Nothobranchius furzeri: one gene and its partners. The protein of the gene in region 1 interacts with the protein of each later gene in a biochemical or structural test. Links are inferred from orthologs where the notes say so. Each region holds a gene or a part of one and is shown in the gene's direction. Other genes may lie near its edges.

Evidence for each region.
Region 2: of the proteins of arf2b (region 1) and agap1, one has a biochemical effect on the other in vitro, tested with the Homo sapiens proteins (2 studies listed by BioGRID, with this or other methods). The link is inferred for Nothobranchius furzeri from reciprocal best matches to the Homo sapiens genes ARF1 and AGAP1.
Region 3: the proteins of arf2b (region 1) and arfgap1 form a complex in vitro, tested with the Homo sapiens proteins (2 studies listed by BioGRID, with this or other methods). The link is inferred for Nothobranchius furzeri from reciprocal best matches to the Homo sapiens genes ARF1 and ARFGAP1.

Annotation. Positions count from the first base shown.
Region 1 is NC_091756.1:54,230,005-54,232,781, forward strand, and holds the end of arf2b (ADP-ribosylation factor 2b), read left to right. Parts: intron 1-1,710; coding exon 1,711-1,835; intron 1,836-1,969; coding exon 1,970-2,131; 3' UTR 2,132-2,163; downstream 2,164-2,777. UniProt on the Homo sapiens protein: Small GTPase involved in protein trafficking between different compartments. Modulates vesicle budding and uncoating within the Golgi complex. In its GTP-bound form, triggers the recruitment of coatomer proteins to the Golgi membrane.
Region 2 is NC_091743.1:81,941,548-81,945,203, reverse strand, and holds part of agap1 (arf-GAP with GTPase, ANK repeat and PH domain-containing protein 1), read left to right. Parts: intron 1-3,002; coding exon 3,003-3,160; intron 3,161-3,494; coding exon 3,495-3,585; intron 3,586-3,656. UniProt on the Homo sapiens protein: GTPase-activating protein for ARF1 and, to a lesser extent, ARF5. Directly and specifically regulates the adapter protein 3 (AP-3)-dependent trafficking of proteins in the endosomal-lysosomal system.
Region 3 is NC_091743.1:50,659,367-50,663,122, forward strand, and holds the start of arfgap1 (ADP-ribosylation factor GTPase-activating protein 1), read left to right. Parts: upstream 1-1,547; 5' UTR 1,548-1,729; intron 1,730-3,756. UniProt on the Homo sapiens protein: GTPase-activating protein (GAP) for the ADP ribosylation factor 1 (ARF1). Involved in membrane trafficking and /or vesicle transport.

The DNA of each region.
Region 1 (2,777 bases):
TGCTTCCAAACCTTTGAGCTACGCTGCCGGCGCGCCATGATATCTTGTTTCTTCTGTGTTTCTGATTCAAATGCTGATCTGGATCGCATGTGCCTCTAGGAAAAAGTGGCGACTGACCCGGACGTGACTACTGCACATGTGACTCGAGGAGAAAGACGGAGCAGGCGAGATTTAAAAAATGCTCATGGAATAAACGACTAGTTGACTATTACATTTATTGACTATTTTGTTTGCTGACGTCATCGTGACGCGTTAACTAGTCATGGCAGCACTAATTGTATTATGTACTGGTTGGCAATATAATCCAGTCTAAATTGCAGGGATGTGTATTTTTTAAATTTTGGCGATACATATCACGATACAGGGGAGACGATACGATATATTGCGATGCATTCAGTCAGACGTTACACGCAATTTTTTTTACTGAATTTGTTGTAAGAATGTTCAATAAACAGTCCAAACTGATACGTAACATGTTTAACATGAGGTATCTGAACCATGATGGAGGGATTTACATTTCAGTGGTGGAAACAAAACCCATTGCACACTGCTGCCAACTAGCGGGTGGTGATTGAATTGCACAAAACGAAAAGAAAATACACAAATGTTTTGCATGTAAATTCTTTCAAGAATTAGATACACGGCTTTAGAATATCGATATAATATTGCAGGAAAAAAATCACGATATTTTGCCATATCGATATTTTCTCACATCCCTACTAAATTGTATTCAAATATAGAGGTTTTTATGAATTACATGCTACAACGGCTTGTCATAGTCTGCTGTGGTGTGTGGAGCACTTGAGTCACTGACTCAGCAGCAACAACCTGACTCTGGGTAGCAGCTGCAGCGGTTCTGCCCCACACCGCTGCAGCTGCAGACGTCCACAAATAAATGGGATAGTGGAGATTTTTCTTCTGCTTGTAGATTCGCTACCATCACGCTTTTTTTCCCTGATCTCCACTTCATCGTGAGCGTCTTTCATGCTAGCTTAGCATTAGCCAGTCTTCCCGTAGTTTAACTCTTTATCCCAAACTTTAGGCTGTTTTTGTCTTTAACATGGGAAGGACTGCCTCCACCTTTTTACCACATTGTGTGCCAGTGAAATGTGCTCAGACTGTGGTGTGCACATTTAACGCTTTGAATCAGTACAAAATTAAGGAGTTTACTTGCTTTTGCCCCCCTAGTGTCCATTTGTAGAAATGAAACCAGAACCTATCTCCTCGGTCTGCATTTGTCTTTTTATCCCTTTAATCTCACAACTGAAGTGTCTCCCAGCATTCCTAAGTGTCTAGAGGGGTGATTCATTACTAAATTAAACAAATCGGCTTTGTTCATGATCTACAACATTTAGGAAATGTTCTGGAACCAGTCTGCAGTGCCAGGTAGGTTAGTTCAATTTTTTAAGTCCTAACGGACAAGACCAGAAACTGATGTTGCAAGTGTGATCTTCTGGCCACAGGGGGCAATAGGGGCTGGGTGGCCTTTCATTAACCCAGTAAAGGGTCATTTTGGCACGTACTGGCTCAAGAAAATGATTTAAAACTTTGAAAGTTGCAAAGTATTCCTTTATTGATTCTAACCATTTGATGTTTCAGCCCTTGTTAATTATTAACAGTGGTCTCAGAAGCCCCCTCCAACCAGGACACATGCTGAAACACAAACATGTTATCTGCTCACACATTAACTTGGTGTGTTTTTGCTTTCAGGGCTTATTTTTGTGGTGGACAGCAATGACAGGGAGCGAGTGAATGAGGCGAGAGAGGAGCTTTCCAGAATGCTTGCAGAGGACGAGCTCAGAGACGCTGTGCTGCTTGTTTTTGCAAATAAACAGGTAGGACTATCCAGGAGTGTTTAGCTACTATAGACTAAAGATTGGTTTTACTGTATTAAAGAGCTCATTTGTGTTTTGTATTTAAGAATGTCAGCTTTCAGATATCGTTGATGATGTTCACCTGCTCTTCCCAGGATCTCCCCAACGCCATGAATGCTGCAGAGATCACAGACAAACTGGGCCTACACGCTCTGCGCCAGCGCAGTTGGTACATCCAGGCCACCTGTGCCACCAGTGGGGACGGTCTCTACGAGGGTCTGGACTGGCTCTCCAACCAGCTCAAGAACCAGAAATGATCCATTCCACCTATTTGGGTTTTTGTTTGTTGTTAATTTTTTTTGTTTCAACACAGCGGCAGCACCAGACCCAGGCCCCCCTGCTCCCATCTGACCTAGTTCTGATCCAGCGCTTTCATGCTTTTCCTGCTTTCCCTTCTCGTCCATCCTCTCGGGGCTCGAGCTTGTGCTGCTCATGTGTGTGAGTGTGTGAGAGTGTGTGTGTGTTGTGTGTTCAGAGAGTGTGGGTGTGAAGGTGTGTGTGTGTGTTGGCTGGGATTAGGAGGAATCCCGGCGTGCCTTTTACACACCTGTGGAATCAGCAGTCTGGTTTTCAAGCCCCCCACCCCCATTCACCAACCTCATTCCTGCCCCCAACCCACCGCCCGGTCTGCCTCCACTCTCAGTCTTGCACGACCCCCTTCACCCCCCACCCTCCAGGCACGGGCATGGTTTTCATACGGCAAAGGAAGAGCAAGGGTGGAAGCCCCACCACCACTAAATCTGTTAACTAAACTCCCCCACCCCCTCCCACTAGATGTTGATTTGAGTTGTCTGATTTTGAACCGACCATCTTAACCTGTATCAGGTCAAAGCAAAGGGGCGCACATCCATGGTTGTTCTGCTGTCATCTGAAAATCATGCTGTTTTATTATTATTGTTATTA
Region 2 (3,656 bases), on another chromosome or scaffold:
TAGGTCTAGACCTGGATCCCTGTGGGTTTAGACCTGGATCCCTCTGGGACTAGACCTGTATCCCTGTAGGTCTAGACCTAGATCCCTGTGGGTTTAGACATGAATTCCTGTGGTTCTAGACGTGAGTCCCTCTGGGACTGGACCAGGGTCCTTGTGGGTTTAGACCAGGATCCCTGAAATACAAGGCCTGGTTCCCTGTGGGTTTAGACGAGGATCCCTGTGGATCTCTCTGGGTCTAGACCAGGATCCCTGTGGTTCTATGCCTGGATCCCTGCAGGACTAGACCTGGATCCCTGTGGGTCTAGACCTGGATCCCTGTGGGTCTATACCTGGATCTCTGTGGGTCTAGACTTGGATCTCTGTGGGTCTAGACCTGGATCCCTGTGGGTTTAGACCTGGATCCCTGTGGGTCTAGACCTGGATCTCTGTGGGTCTAGACCTGGATCCCTGGGGGTTTAGACCTGGATCCCTGTGGGTTTAGACCTGGATTCCTGTGGGTTTAGACCTGGATTCCTGTGGGTTTAGACCTGGATCTCTGTGGGTCTAGACCTGGATCCCTGTGTGTTTAGACCTGGATCCCTGTGGGTTTAGACCTGGATCCCTGTGGGTTTTGACCTGGATCCCTGTGGGTTTAGACCTGGATCCCTGTGGGTCTAGACCTGGATCTCTGTGGGTCTAGACCTGGATCCCTGCGGGTCTAGACCTGATTCCTTGTGGGTTTAGACAAGGATCCCTGTGGGTCTGGACTTGGATCCCTGTGGGTTTACACCTGCATCCCTGTGGTTCTAGACCTTAATCCATCTGGGACTGGACCAGGATCCTTGTGAGTTTAGACCTGGGTCCCTGTAGGTCTAGACCTGGATCCCTGTGGGTTTAGACCTGGATCCCTCTGGGACTAGACCTGTATCCCTGTAGGTCTAGACCTAGATCCCTGTGGGTTTAGACATGAATTCCTGTGGTTCTAGACGTGAGTCCCTCTGGGACTGGACCAGGGTCCTTGTGGGTTTAGACCAGGATCCCTGAAATACAAGGCCTGGTTCCCTGTGGGTTTAGACGAGGATCCCTGTGGATCTCTCTGGGTCTAGACCAGGATCCCTGTGGTTCTATACCTGGATCCCTGCAGGACTAGACCTGGATCCCTGTAGGTTTAGACCTGGATCCCTCTGGGACTAGACCTGTTTAACTTTTGTTTATCTGCTTTATTTGCACTAATCTGGGTTTAGCTGAGTTCATCAGCCTCTGCCTGTAACCATGTGTGTTTCCTGCACCAGAACCCTGCCTGTACTTTACGTTTTCCAGTGCTGGCTGGTGTTGTGTGCTGGTTCTGGGGATGGTGACACCAAGTTGCCAGCTAGACCTGCAGCAAGCCTCCTCCTCCTGCAGATTTGGGAACAAATCCAGACCTCATCCAGAACCTGGGAACATTTTCCAGGTTATTAATGTTGTAAGATGCCTTGAATAATATGAGGAGTAATGACCTGTGTCTCAAAGCAATCCTGTGTGCGGTGACATTTAAGGCATTTAATTTGTGTTTCCTGTTCCCCCGTCTGCCCGCCTCACTCCTCCCCTCTCACGGCACCGTTTGGGCCCGGCGCTCTCGGTGATCGGCCCGTGTTGGCGGCCCACCCGCCCGCCTGCTGTAAATGTTCGAGGTTTGGTTGGTTCTGTTTGTGCTGCTAAAGGTTGCCGGTGTCAGAGTTCACAAATTGCCTCTGCACACCTCTCTCTACGCGAATGTCAGCAACAGTAGCCGAGAGCGGTGGCAGTAATTACCATTGCATCGCTCAGTGTGTGTGTGTGTGTGTGTGTGTGTGTGTACAGCAACAATGAGGAAACCCATTTAAACACAAAACAAACACAAATATTCTCCTAAGGCCTGAGAGAAAACTCTTTGTGTTTTGGTGCTAACAGCCTTTAAATTCAGGTTTTTATTAATAATTTTTAACTATTTAATCATTTATTATCTTATTTCAAATGTTGAATAGCTTCCTGGTAATTTGATGTCTTATTTAAAAAAATATGGTGTTTGGAATATAATTTTTGTTGTTTTACCAGATGAAACAGAAACATTTTTATCCTTTTTTTGTCTTTTTACCCGTTAAAACTGATTTCTTTATGTTAAAAATAAAAGCTGTTATTCCTGTAGATGATGCTGATGGCCACCAGGGGGCAGCAGAATAACCTGCAGGTGTAACTTCAGATGTGTTTAATTATTATGATGCCAATTTTTCACAACAAGAGTTCTGTTGGTGTCCCAATGTCCTGCTCGTCCTATCTGAGCTCAGATTCTGGTTCCTGGAAGGTGGACCTGGTTCCGCCGCCGCCCTTGTCAGTCTGAGTGTTTGTTCTGCTCAGAACAAAAACAGGAAGTGATGGAGCCTCGGGAATCAAACCACTGGCTGAAAAACTGCAGGAAACTTATTGAAGTGACCTTTAATGTTAAAATCTGATGAGTGCAGCTTTAAATGTCACGTTGTTTCACTCGTTCCTGTCGGATCTGAGTCCAGGTTGCCCCCCCAGCCACACACATACACCACCCCTTGTATTCATTAGCTGCTGCAGCGCCGGGTCAGCGTTTAAATCAGAAACAGCGTTTAATTTGTGGCTCAGATGGACAAGGCCTTTCTGGATTGTTGGTTCCCATAATTGCACCCCCACCCCACCCCCCGAGAACAGAGAATCATGGGAGTTTAATTATGATGGGGCCGTAGGGCCTGCAGGGCTGAGCTGGATCTAGAGAATCGGCTTCAATCCTTTCTCTTGAGTTTATTTTGGTTTTCCAGGAGCTTCCTATTTTAATTTTATTGATTAATTAACATTTTAACGGTTCTAGTCCTACAAGCATCTCACCACCCCTAATGAGTAGTGAGACAAAAGGATTTTTATTTAAAAACATTTATCTTTTTCTCAGCTTTCTTCTCAAATGTTTATATTTTGGTTGTGGTTTCAGACTGGGACTGGGTCCCGGTTCTGTCTGACCCAGATGTGAATTTTCTCTCCAGCAGAACAAGAGGAGAACTTTGAGTTCATCATCGTTTCTCTGACGGGGCAGACGTGGAACTTCGAGGCCACTTCGTACGAGGAGCGGGACGCCTGGGTCCAGGTGATTGAGGGCCAGATCCTGGCCAGCCTGCAGTCGTGTGAGAGCAGCAAGAACAAGGTAGGTCCAGGTTCTACTGATCCTAATGGTTCTGGTTATCAGCTGCTGCTTTGGATCATTTTGAAGGTCTAACTGGTAGAAAGCCAGAGTAAAGGTCCAGTCAAGAGAACATCCTGAGCTGAAGGTTCTCCTAGGTTTTGCTGTCCTCCAGAACATCTTCAGGCTTGTTTCTGTGTTTTGTTCCAGCCAGTAGACGGGGGTGAGCTGTACAGGTGCAGGTTAAAACTGAAACACTCCTGAGTCACCTGACACCCCCCCCCCCCCCCCCCAATGGACACCCTGAAAATAATGACCCCTGGACTAAAGATGTCCACACTAACATTTTGTCTTCCAGTCTCGGCTGACGAGCCAGTCGGAGGCGTTGGCCCTGCAGTCGGTCCGGAGCATTCGAGGAAACGGTCGCTGTGCCGACTGCGACGCTCTGAGTGAGTTCAGCGACATTTGCTGTAGAAAGTCCTTCACGAAACCGGTTTGGTCCAGTTTCATTCTACAGCCA
Region 3 (3,756 bases), on another chromosome or scaffold:
CTCCTGAGCAAAATGAAAACCTGCATTTGACCAGATATTTTTGTAACCTTAATTCATGTTATATCTTCTCACCTGGAGTGTTGCAATGCGTAATCTGTTTTATGTGTCTTAGGCTTTCAAATTTTATGACTGTTTTTCAGTTTTTTTATTGCTTCTTTTATGCTTTGTGTCTTTTATGTTTGTGCATTGTTCTTATCTGTGCATCACTTTGAGGCAATGGCTGTTGCCATGAAAATGTGCTATATCAATAAAATTTGCCTTGACTTGACCTGACTTAATGACTTGTTTATTATGATCATCTTCTACTGTGTTATTCGTAATTATGTAAAAATGACATAAGTTCATAAGTTCATGTCTGCAGAGTTTATTTGAATGGATTGTGATTTCCATGGATTAGGCTCTGGTCAGTCATAGGTCATGAGAAGGATATAATCAATTTGTGTGCTTATGCTGATTGTTTTGCAGAAGATAATTAGAAAAAATGCTTCATCAAAAGAGTATTTCTTATGATATTTTGATAAAACAAAAACTTGAATTTGGTTCTACACTGACCAGGTTCAATGTTACAACTGAGTTTGCTATAGCTGACCTTATTTTGGCTCATCCTTACACCCAAACCCTCACCTGGTCAGGTATGGACTCAGCTAGACCTGTGAAGTTTTGTGCAATAAACCGCTATGTGCAGTGTGATTAAGCACTTGTCTATCAGAGGCAACATTAGGCCATTTAGCAATTTGAGCTGCAGCAGCATCTGTTGAGTCGGAAAAACTAGATCTCCTTCAATGAAACCTGACTTCCCATGCCCCGTCTCATTCTTTATTTATTTATTAGACACCTTGGGGGACATTGTGATTGTGGCAGGTGGACAGCATGCCACAAAAGCTGCAGTAAATCTCATTTCACATAATGCACTGTGTTCTGAATGTGTCTTATTTTGACTTTGACTTGGCTGTCTTTCATTTAACCTGCCGCTGTGTAAAGTTACATCCTGTTTCAGGTTCTTATCATTATCATCAGTCACAATCATTTTTCCTTTGAAACATAATGCAGTCGTTGCATGAAGCTGTGCTGTTATTATGTTGTAGCTATAGCTCCATATCAATGCACTGTAAAAAGAGTTTGCATTTGATTAGCAGTATCTAAATAGAGTAGTTTAGTAATGAAACAATCACATTTTGAAAAACTTGATGTTTAGTCACGTTTTTTATTCGAGCTCCAATCGTTTATTTCTTTCATTTCTGTATTGTCAGGTTTTCTTGATTTTAATTTTTTTAAAACCTTCATTGTTGTCTTTTCAATTATTCTAATGTGCTTGTGCAGCGCTTTGTGATTTTTATCTTGAAAAGTGCTTCACCATCATTATTGTCGCTACTATTACATCTATGACGTCTAATATCTGTTATTCTTGTGTTTTTTGTTTCAAGAGCAAAAGTAGTAACAATCTATCCTGACAGGGGGCAGTAGCGCGCACTTTAAACGCACTTCCGATGTAAAAGATCACAAAGAAAGCTTTACCCATGATGCATTTCTCTGCCAACGTATGCAAACAGGAACACGGCTACCGGCTTTTAACATCGGCGGTATTTTAATTACTCTTTTGTGGAGCCGATAGTCTCTGACAGCCCGACATCTGCAGCTCCGCGGCGACAGAAGAAAATCCTCCGGGGAGTTTATCAGCGGAGCCAACAGAGTCTGAAAGCGGCGTCCTTGTTGTTCACCAGTCTGTCAGGTAACACGGCTAGCGGCTAGCTTACATTAGCATCACGAATCTGCCAGCTCACTGAATTTTTATCAGTTTTGTGTCTATTACGAAGCCCCGCTTTTAAATATTACCCGAGATTAGGAGCATTAACCGCGTCACCAACTTATGTCAAGACGTTGCTTGATTTCAACATAACTTGTGAATAAAATCAAGACTACTAGTGAGAGGAAGCCTGACACGACTACAATTTACTGAGGAAAAATGGAATGTTACCATGACAGTCACCGAAATGAATTTTTCTGAAATTGGTGTTTTTTTACGGGTTACAGCAAGTACAAAAACATCTGTTGCGTTTTACATTTTAGTCTTGGTCGTTAAAAATTTTACAACAATAAATAGTGAAAGCTATTTTAACTAACCAAAAACTGTTTTCAATATGAATCTGAGAGGGAAACACGTCTGGAATAAGTAGTTTTCTGTAGAAAATCTGAATGTAAACTACATTTTTCAGTTTCAGCTGCTTTTTGAACGTTCTTAAATCACTGCTGAAAGGTTTATTATTTGACAGCCATTTGCGTTCTGATTCACTCCTGATAATCTGACTTCCCTCTCTGGCCTCTGGCACTTTAACATAAACCATAATCATTTGTGATATGTGGATATGCCATAAATTTGTAGCTTATATGTATTTTAATTTCGAGTAATCATAGTATTAATTAGCATCTGCCATTCACATTTTCATTTGTTTCTCGCTCCATCATTCTGTCATTCTTTGGAAAATCCTGTGGTATTCCGAGGCTCTACCAGGCTCTGGGAGATCTGTCGTTGGTCCAGCAGATTCTGGTTTTGTGTCCTCTTTAATGAGCTCCCCGCCTTATAGTTAAAGCTGAGGCCAGTAAAGCTGTTGACTAGAAAGCCAGTTTCACCACTTTGTTTATGGGATCTTGTTCTTTGAGTCATGATCCAAATCTCACAAGTAAAAATCACAAATGAAAACATGAATCTGGAGGGACCAGTAAATGGAAAGTTTAGCTTTTTGACTCAGCTTCTTCGTTACCACCACACGCTGGGGTAGAGTGTGTGTTTCTCCAGATGAAGCTCCATGCTATCATCACTTCTGAATAAGATATTGAGATATCGACCCCTTAATTTGAGAAATGTATCTTTTCCAACTTGGAGGAAGTTTTCCACCGAGTTCGTTGGAGACTTACTTGAGCTTACTTAACTCTTGGGTTTGTTTGTGTGTTGTGAAGCACAAGGTCAGATCTGTGCCAAAATCTAAATTTAAAGAAAGTTCATATTGGGTGCAGTGCTCAATGACAACACTTTGGCATTTACCTTCAGAGAAATGTACACACGGAGATGTATAGTGTGTCTGGTGAACACTGAGTAAGCCAGTAGCTTCAGGGTTGGGTGGAATTGACTGTTTGCCAAAAGTTGTTAATTTAGCCTGAAATCCACCTGGAAGAGGGCACCGTACGGTTGTGGCTCCTGGTTGAGTCTAAACTCTGACAACTCCTGTTGTGCCCCGAGGATATTATGATCCCATTCTCACTTAGCTGTTGCCAGTCTCTTCTTCCTCCTCTTTACCAGTCTTATTTTTGCCAGGGCGTTCCACTGACAGCGTGACAGGGAGCATCCCAGAATCAAGACTGCAATTAGTGAAACTAAGCTACTTCCTCTACAACTTATCAGTCCCTCCAGCACGTCAAAGCCTTATTATTATTATTATTGTTATTATTATTATTATTATTATTATTATTATTATTGTCCCAGCAGCTTAAAATAAGTGATGGGAGATCAGTGTTAGTCATCATATAATACCATTTGAAATCTGTCCGTGTTTGTTGGAAAAAAAACTCGATTTATTATATGTCAGCAGAACTCTTGAGTTATCTCCAAAAGCATGTGATCTGATGAGTGTTTAGGTGACTTATCTCCGGAAAGAATTAACCACGTTTTTTTAGCTGCAGCCAGCTGATCTCGTCTTCTTTCCAAGCAAGCAGCGATTAAATAGCAGCAAGTCTGCTGTCTGGAGTCGGTCCAGGTTTGTT